2 linked regions of the Saccharomyces cerevisiae S288C genome follow. The protein of the gene in region 2 binds, or shares a complex with, the protein of the main gene of each other region. Each region holds a gene or a part of one and is shown on either strand. Other genes may lie near its edges.

Region 1 (2,982 bases), on a different chromosome or scaffold from region 2:
AGCATTAGCGCATCGTTTCGATGATTTCATGGATGAAAACAATATGTGTATTCTACGATGCGGTGCCCTCGGAAGCATATCGGTAAGTGAGAAGTTTAAGAACGGACGAACCTATGACCATTTCCCCGCCTACCATTTCAAAACTCAGTCTAAAGTACTAGATCCTACTGGCGGGGGAAACTCGTTCCTTGGCGGCTTTGCAGTTTCTTATGCCCTAACGAAAAGCTTAGATATTGCTAGTATATGTGGGAACATCGCTGCAGGCGCAATAATTGAACAATTCGGAATACCGAGGTACGATCCAATTGCTAAAACCTGGAACGGAATCACATTCTTGGATAGACTGAAATTTTACCTTTCACAGTCCGGTCTTCAATATAATATAAACGATCTTTACAAAAGTCTAACACGATGATCATATCAGCTTGTTCATTGCTCTTATTTTTCTGCAAAAATATACATATATATATATAAGTAAGTGTTATATACTACTTGAGATTAGGCGTTGTAACAAGATTCAAAAAATTCGAACTCGAACTGTGAAACCTTCACAAATATGCTTTCCACTTCTTCGACGGGAAACTTGTCAACTTCAGCCTTTAGAAATTCACACCAAGTTTGAAAATGCTCACCATCATGTAAATCAATCCATTTTTGATATTTCCAATGCAACCCTGGGGCTCTAGGAGTATCACGAGCCCATCTCCAATAGAGTTCCTCAGCAACCCATAAGCTGGTTACTAAGGATGGCCATGTAATTGAGGCGTCCTTTCTCAGCTCATCTAAGAAATTAATATACGCATCAACGCCGGGGATCGCTTTATTGTCAAAATTATCTCTTTCTTCCTTGGTGAGGGATGGTGCCAATAATTCTAAGCAGTCATGAAAGTATGAGTTTTCATCATTAGAAAAAAATCCAATCTTTTTGGCTAAGGTTATTAAAGCGTGAGTAGTTGGTGCTAAAGAAGTCGTCTTACATATCAACCTTAAGCTAGTTTCAAAAAATTGCAGATCTTGTGATAAATAGATGTACAAACTACGGTCCTTCAATGTTCCGGCACATAGTTCCTTAGCGAATTTATGTTCTGTGGTTTTCCTAACAAGGGCGTCGTACTTTTGTATTAACTTATCAGTGGTACAGCTCATTGTTCTTCCTTGCAGATATTGTTGATATTGTTATTATTTGCGCTAAATTTTAGTTAATACAGAAAAAAATATCTAAGTTCAGTCCAGTTCATATTCGTTTATATATCTTTCGAAGCCAGACCTTTTTTGCCAAGCAATTGTTACTATGGAAACTATTAGAACCATATGCGCTAAACAATATTAGCCATCAATTCAACTTTATTCGCAGTAAGCTCCTGCAGAACAGGCTTATCAATCATTATGGTCTTAACGGAACGCCTAGGGACGCTGACTAGGCCCATCATTCTACTACTGGAGCCCATACGTTCCTCAACATGATCTAATAGCAAATTCATTTGGGCATCTACAGCAACCAAGCTTCCAACTAAAATACGATCTTCTGTAAGGGAAACTATTAAAGTATTTCCAATAAAATCTGACAGTTTCAAGATGTCCATGACGCTTTGGTGCCCCTTACTAAGTTTGTTGAAGACTATCTTCACCCTATCAATGATATCATCGCATTTAAAAAATAGTCAGAACTCATGCACTTCGCGAGATATTTTTTGAAAAAAAAAAAATTAATCCGCCACATAAGATGCACAAAATGAGCCTATAACATTGAATTTTATGATAGAACGAAAGGATTGTGTTATTTAGAACAGAGTATCAGTATATCGTATGTCACAGAACAACACAATCAGCTCAATGAATCCTGAAAGAGCTTACAACAATGTAACGCTGAAAAATTTAACAGCATTTCAGTTATTATCTCAAAGAGAAAACATATGCGAGTTATTGAACTTGGTAGAAAGTACGGAAAGACACAATAGTATTATCAATCCTGAAAGGCAAAGGATGAGTTTGGAAGAAATGAAAAAAATGCTCGATGCTTTGAAAAATGAAAGGAAAAAGTAGGAAAACGCAACATTCACAATTGTAAGCTACAAAATATTGAATGTGAATCCTGCTTCATTACAAATGAAGAATTTCAAAGCGTATCTAGTTCACCAAAAGTCACAATATCTTATTATTATTTGGAAGCTTTTATATGCATCTAATGGTCATAAATCCCATCTCACTTTATAAAACAAGTTACCGCGAATGTATCCAGTGATACAGAATAGAGTGTAACAAATGAGAATAAAAATACCATATTATCGTTTAATTTTGGTAGGGTACGCTAAAATAAAGTGGTGTTTGCGTCTCCATATAACTAAAAAGAATTGAAATGGCCTACTATCGATTAGACTATTCAGGCATGGAAGCAGTAAGAACATTTCTTGATTTTGGAAAAATGAGATTAGATTATTAATTATTGTGTTTGTGTATATAATTTATTTTGCATATTTCATAAAGAAATTAAAATTAGATTATTAAATATTAAGTTTCATTAGTGACATTAAAAGAAGAAAACTGATGTTTTGAAATGTGTTAAGCAAAGAATGATTAAGACAATCTCAAGCTGCTCTAAGCAGTATCTTCGACAGCTTGCTCTGCTTCAGGTTCGGGTTCGTGGATTGCAGTCTCTCCAGATGCTCTTGGGCTCTCTGGAACAGCTTCTTTTGTTTCAGGAGCCGCATCTTCCACATCGTCCGTAGCATGGTGATGAGAGAATCCTCCTGTCAAAGATAGCCTTGGCAATTTGCCATCACGGCTGACTGCAATTAGCAAGTAACATGGATAAATGGCAAATACACATAAATCCAAAACACCATAAAAGATAGCCTCACCGTCTGGTTGAATACGGTTACCACCATCACTTAGACCCCAACAGATAAAGTACAACCAAACGATTACCATGCAGGTACACAGCATAAGTGCATTGAACCCTCTAGTTTTCAAATTGAAGAATTG
Region 2 (5,670 bases):
AACGTAACTACCTCTCTTGATAGCATCTTCAACAGTGAACAAGTTCTTGCCTGGAACCCAACCGTCTTCGATGGCAGCCTTCCAAGAAGCACCATCTTTACGGACACCAATGATAACGTTCAAACCGTTGTCTCTCAAGTTCAAACCTTGACCGTAACCTTGGGAACCGTAACCGATCAAAGCAAAAGTGTCGTTCTTGAAGTAGTCCAACAACTTTTCTCTTGGCCAGTCAGCTCTTTCGTAGACGGTTTCAACAGTACCACCGAAGTTGATTTGCTTCAAACCACGGGTAGTGATCATTGGCTTAACGAAACGGGCAGCTGGTCTGCTGTAAGCAGCAGCACGGGTGGCCAAAGCAAAGGTTCTCTTAGCAGTGATGACACGGGAGTTGCAGATCAATCTGGCGGCTTGAGTTCTCAACATGTTTTATTTTTTACTTATATTGCTGGTAGGGTAAAAAAATATAACTCCTAGGAATAGGTTGTCTATATGTTTTTGTCTTGCTTCTATAATTGTAACAAACAAGGAAAGGGAAAATACTGGGTGTAAAAGCCATTGAGTCAAGTTAGGTCATCCCTTTTATACAAAATTTTTCAATTTTTTTTCCAAGATTCTTGTACGATTAATTATTTTTTTTTTGCGTCCTACAGCGTGATGAAAATTTCGCCTGCTGCAAGATGAGCGGGAACGGGCGAAATGTGCACGCGCACAACTTACGAAACGCGGATGAGTCACTGACAGCCACCGCAGAGGTTCTGACTCCTACTGAGCTCTATTGGAGGTGGCAGAACCGGTACCGGAGGAGACCGCTATAACCGGTTTGAATTTATTGTCACAGTGTCACATCAGCGGCAACTCAGAAGTTTGACAGCAAGCAAGTTCATCATTCGAACTAGCCTTATTGTTTTAGTTCAGTGACAGCGAACTGCCGTACTCGATGCTTTATTTCTCACGGTAGAGCGGAAGAACAGATAGGGGCAGCGTGAGAAGAGTTAGAAAGTAAATTTTTATCACGTCTGAAGTATTCTTATTCATAGGAAATTTTGCAAGGTTTTTTAGCTCAATAACGGGCTAAGTTATATAAGGTGTTCACGCGATTTTCTTGTTATGTATACCTCTTCTCTGAGGAATGGTACTACTGTCCTGATGTAGGCTCCTTAAATTGGTGGGCAAGAATAACTTATCGATATTTTGTATATTGGTCTTGGAGTTCACCACGTAATGCCTGTTTAAGACCATCAGTTAACTCTAGTATTATTTGGTCTTGGCTACTGGCCGTTTGCTATTATTCAAGTCTTTTGTGCCTTCCCGTCGGGTAAGGGAGTTATTTAGGGATACAGAATCTAACGAAAACTAAATCTCAATGATTAACTCCATTTAATCCTTTTTTGAAAGGCAAAAGAGGTCCCTTGTTCACTTACAACGTTCTTAGCCAAATTCGCTTATCACTTACTACTTCACGATATACAGAAGTAAAAACATATAAAAAGATGTCTGTTTGTTTAGCCATCACAAAAGGTATCGCAGTTTCTTCTATAGGCCTCTACTCTGGTCTTTTGGCTTCCGCTTCATTGATTACATCTACTACTCCACTAGAGGTTTTAACAGGATCCCTTACTCCCACTTTAACCACTTTGAAAAATGCGGCCACCGCCTTGGGAGCGTTTGCGTCAACTTTCTTTTGTGTGAGCTTTTTCGGCGCTCCTCCCTCATTGAGACACCCCTACTTACTCTATGGTATGCTTGTAGCTCCATTATCTTCATTTGTTCTAGGATGTGCCTCCAACTATCAGTCTAGAAAGTACAGTAAAGTCTCTAAGGAATCTTCTTTATTTCCCGAAGACAGCAAACTCGCTGCTTCCGAACTGAGCGATTCTATTATTGATTTAGGTGAAGACAACCATGCTTCAGAAAATACACCTCGAGACGGGAAGCCTGCAGCAACCACAGTATCAAAGCCGGCAGAGGCATTGCACACCGGTCCCCCAATCCATACTAAAAATCTAATTGCAGCAACTGCTATTGCTATTGTTGGCTTTGTACAAGCCGTTATTGGCGTTTATGGGGAAGGACAATTTATCTAGTGTTTCTCGTTCACGTATTTATCTCTACAAGAATTTGTAGCTGCCTGAACTCGGCTCCTCTCTCTCTCCAAAAATAAAGTGTGTAGTAATTTGCAGTTTTTTTATATATTCCTACGAGTTTTCAAACGTTCAAAAGACAGTATGTTCAAAAATTGTGCATACACACACGTATGCACATATATACATAATAATACACTGTAATAAGCACATTTGTAGGTGCTCTTGCACTTGGTTTATTACTGTCACTGACTTTTCTCACCCGGCCGAGAGTCGTGCGAAAATTCGCATGTTAAAGTGAGAAAATAGAGAAAACAACACAGCTGAAAAAAGTATTGGTAACAGTTCAATACGTGATCAAATATACAGCACGTCGCGCAGAACCAGACGAAGCGGAGAATATTCTACATTGACAGTGCATGATGCCTGATGACAATTCAAACTCGTCCACTCAAAACTCAAGCGCATTATACAAGGACCTGAGGAAAGAATATGAATCTCTTTTCACTTTAAAGGAAGATTCTGGGTTAGAGATTTCACCAATATTCAATGTCCTTCCACCTAAAAAGGATTATCCTGACTACTACGCAGTGATCAAGAACCCTGTATCTTTCAATACTTTAAAAAAGCGTATTCCACATTATACAGATGCTCAACAGTTTATGAACGATGTTGTCCAGATTCCATGGAATGCCAAGACTTACAATACAAGAGATTCAGGAATTTATAAATACGCCTTAGTCCTTGAGAAATATTTAAAGGACACAATCTATCCAAATTTAAAAGAAAAATATCCTCAATTAGTGTATCCTGATTTGGGTCCTCTACCCGATGAACCAGGTTATGAAGAGTTTCAACAGAAATTAAGAGAAAAAGCTGAGGAAGTAGCGAGAGCTAATGCAGCCAGAGCCGAGTCGAGCTCTTCAATGAATTCAACAGAAGCAGCCAGAAGATTAAGAAAGACTCGTACTTCCGTCAAAAGAGAATCAGAACCAGGAACCGATACAAATAATGATGAGGACTATGAGGCGACGGATATGGATATCGATAACCCTAAGGATGCTGATTTTCCTGATTTGATAAGAAAGCCACTAATAAATATTAATCCATATACTCGGAAACCATTAAGAGACAACAGGTCCACTACTCCATCTCACTCAGGCACCCCTCAGCCGTTAGGCCCAAGGCATAGACAGGTATCCAGAACTCAGGTAAAGCGTGGGAGACCCCCAATCATCGACTTACCGTATATTCAAAGAATGAAAAATGTTATGAAAGTACTAAAAAAAGAGGTGCTAGATAGTGGAATTGGTCTAACTGATCTTTTTGAAAGATTGCCCGATAGACACAGAGATGCAAATTACTACATCATGATTGCTAATCCAATTAGTCTTCAAGACATAAATAAAAAGGTAAAGACTCGTCGTTATAAAACGTTCCAGGAGTTCCAGAATGATTTTAATCTTATGTTAACCAACTTTAGAATTTCGCACAGAGGTGATCCTGAAAGCATAAAAATTTCAAATATCTTAGAAAAGACCTTTACTAGTCTGGCAAGATTCGAACTATCCAAACCTGATAGAAGTTTCATTCCAGAAGGCGAGCTAAGATACCCTCTAGATGAAGTCATTGTAAATAATATATCATACCACGTGGGAGATTGGGCACTTCTTCGAAATCAAAATGATCCTCAAAAACCTATAGTGGGCCAAATATTCAGGCTATGGAAGACACCAGATGGGAAACAATGGTTAAACGCTTGTTGGTATTACAGACCCGAACAAACTGTGCATAGAGTGGATAGATTGTTTTACAAAAACGAAGTTATGAAAACAGGTCAGTACCGTGATCATTTAGTGTCAAACTTAGTTGGGAAATGCTATGTGATTCACTTTACTAGATATCAACGTGGTAATCCCGATATGAAATTGGAGGGTCCCTTGTTCGTTTGCGAATTCCGTTATAATGAATCCGATAAAATTTTTAACAAGATTAGAACCTGGAAGGCTTGCTTACCAGAGGAAATTCGTGATTTGGACGAAGCTACCATTCCGGTAAATGGTAGAAAGTTCTTCAAATATCCTTCCCCCATAAGACATCTACTACCAGCTAATGCAACGCCGCATGATCGCGTTCCTGAACCAACGATGGGATCCCCGGACGCGCCACCATTGGTCGGTGCCGTTTATATGAGACCTAAAATGCAGCGTGACGATTTGGGGGAATATGCAACCTCTGATGACTGTCCCAGGTATATTATCAGACCCAACGATTCTCCCGAAGAGGGACAAGTGGATATAGAAACAGGTACGATCACCACAAACACGCCAACAGCAAATGCTCTTCCTAAAACAGGATACTCAAGTAGTAAACTATCCAGTTTAAGATATAACAGGTCATCTATGTCTTTAGAAAACCAAAATGCTATTGGCCAGCAACAAATACCACTGTCAAGAGTTGGTTCCCCTGGCGCGGGAGGCCCGCTTACTGTACAAGGTTTAAAGCAACACCAATTGCAAAGGTTACAACAGCAGCAACATCAATACCAACAACAGAAAAGATCCCAAGCATCACGTTATAATATCCCAACAATAATCGATGATTTAACATCGCAGGCATCAAGAGGTAATTTGGGTAATATAATGATCGATGCAGCCTCCTCGTTTGTCTTACCTATCTCTATAACCAAAAACGTAGATGTTTTGCAGCGTACTGATCTGCACAGCCAAACCAAGAGATCTGGAAGAGAAGAGATGTTTCCATGGAAAAAAACAAAGGGTGAAATATTATGGTTCAGAGGACCTAGTGTGATAGTAAATGAACGAATAATAAATTCAGGTGACCCACACCTAAGCCTGCCACTGAATAGGTGGTTTACCACTAACAAGAAAAGAAAACTAGAATACGAAGAAGTTGAAGAAACCATGGAAGATGTGACTGGAAAGGACAAAGATGATGATGGCTTAGAACCGGATGTTGAAAATGAGAAAGAGTCCTTGCCAGGCCCATTTGTCCTTGGATTAAGACCCTCGGCTAAGTTCACGGCGCACAGACTCTCTATGCTGCGGCCTCCTTCGTCGTCTTCATGATCACCTTTATTGTAAAAGCAATGGCAGCATAATATCTTCCCATTGCGCATTACCCTCCGCGAGCAGAGTCAAACTTCAAACAAAGCAGGAAAATGAAATAAAACAGAAGTTATTATATAGAAGAAAGTCATCTATAGATATATTATCGTTGTATTAATAGTAGCCATATAAAACAATTATACTTCATCACCAACCTCTCAAAATTTCTTCCCCAAGGACCAAAGCTTTTCCAGTAAGTTGCTACAACTAAAGTGAAATAAACTATCCGAATTATATAAAAGATGCCTGACTATGACAATTACACTACGCCATTGTCTTCTAGATATGCCTCCAAGGAAATGTCAGCAACGTTTTCTTTGAGAAACAGATTTTCCACATGGAGAAAACTATGGTTAAATTTGGCTATTGCTGAGAAGGAATTGGGCTTAACTGTTGTTACAGATGAAGCAATTGAGCAAATGCGCAAACACGTCGAAATCACTGATGATGAAATCGCAAAA

Evidence for each region. The genes of interacting proteins can lie anywhere in the genome.
Region 1: RSC2 (region 2) and HTL1 share a complex: the UniProt entries of both Saccharomyces cerevisiae proteins name them as parts of the two forms of the RSC complex.

The regions. Positions count from the first base shown.
Region 1 is NC_001135.5:153,514-156,495, forward strand, and holds HTL1 (Htl1p), read left to right. Parts: upstream 1-1,806; coding exon 1,807-2,043; downstream 2,044-2,982. Other genes in the region: MAK32 (Mak32p), read left to right, coding at 1-415; PET18 (Pet18p), read right to left, coding at 499-1,146; MAK31 (Mak31p), read right to left, coding at 1,317-1,583; HSP30 (Hsp30p), read right to left, coding at 2,596-2,982. UniProt on the Saccharomyces cerevisiae protein: Required for cell cycle progression through G2/M transition at temperatures higher than 33 degrees Celsius. Component of the chromatin structure-remodeling complex (RSC), which is involved in transcription regulation and nucleosome positioning.
Region 2 is NC_001144.5:838,831-844,500, forward strand, and holds RSC2 (Rsc2p), read left to right. Parts: upstream 1-2,500; coding exon 2,501-5,170; downstream 5,171-5,670. Other genes in the region: ILV5 (ketol-acid reductoisomerase), read right to left, coding at 1-423; ATG33 (Atg33p), read left to right, coding at 1,491-2,084; YLR358C (uncharacterized protein), read right to left, coding at 4,657-5,220; adenylosuccinase ADE13, read left to right, coding at 5,452-5,670. UniProt on the Saccharomyces cerevisiae protein: Component of the chromatin structure remodeling complex (RSC), which is involved in transcription regulation and nucleosome positioning. RSC is responsible for the transfer of a histone octamer from a nucleosome core particle to naked DNA.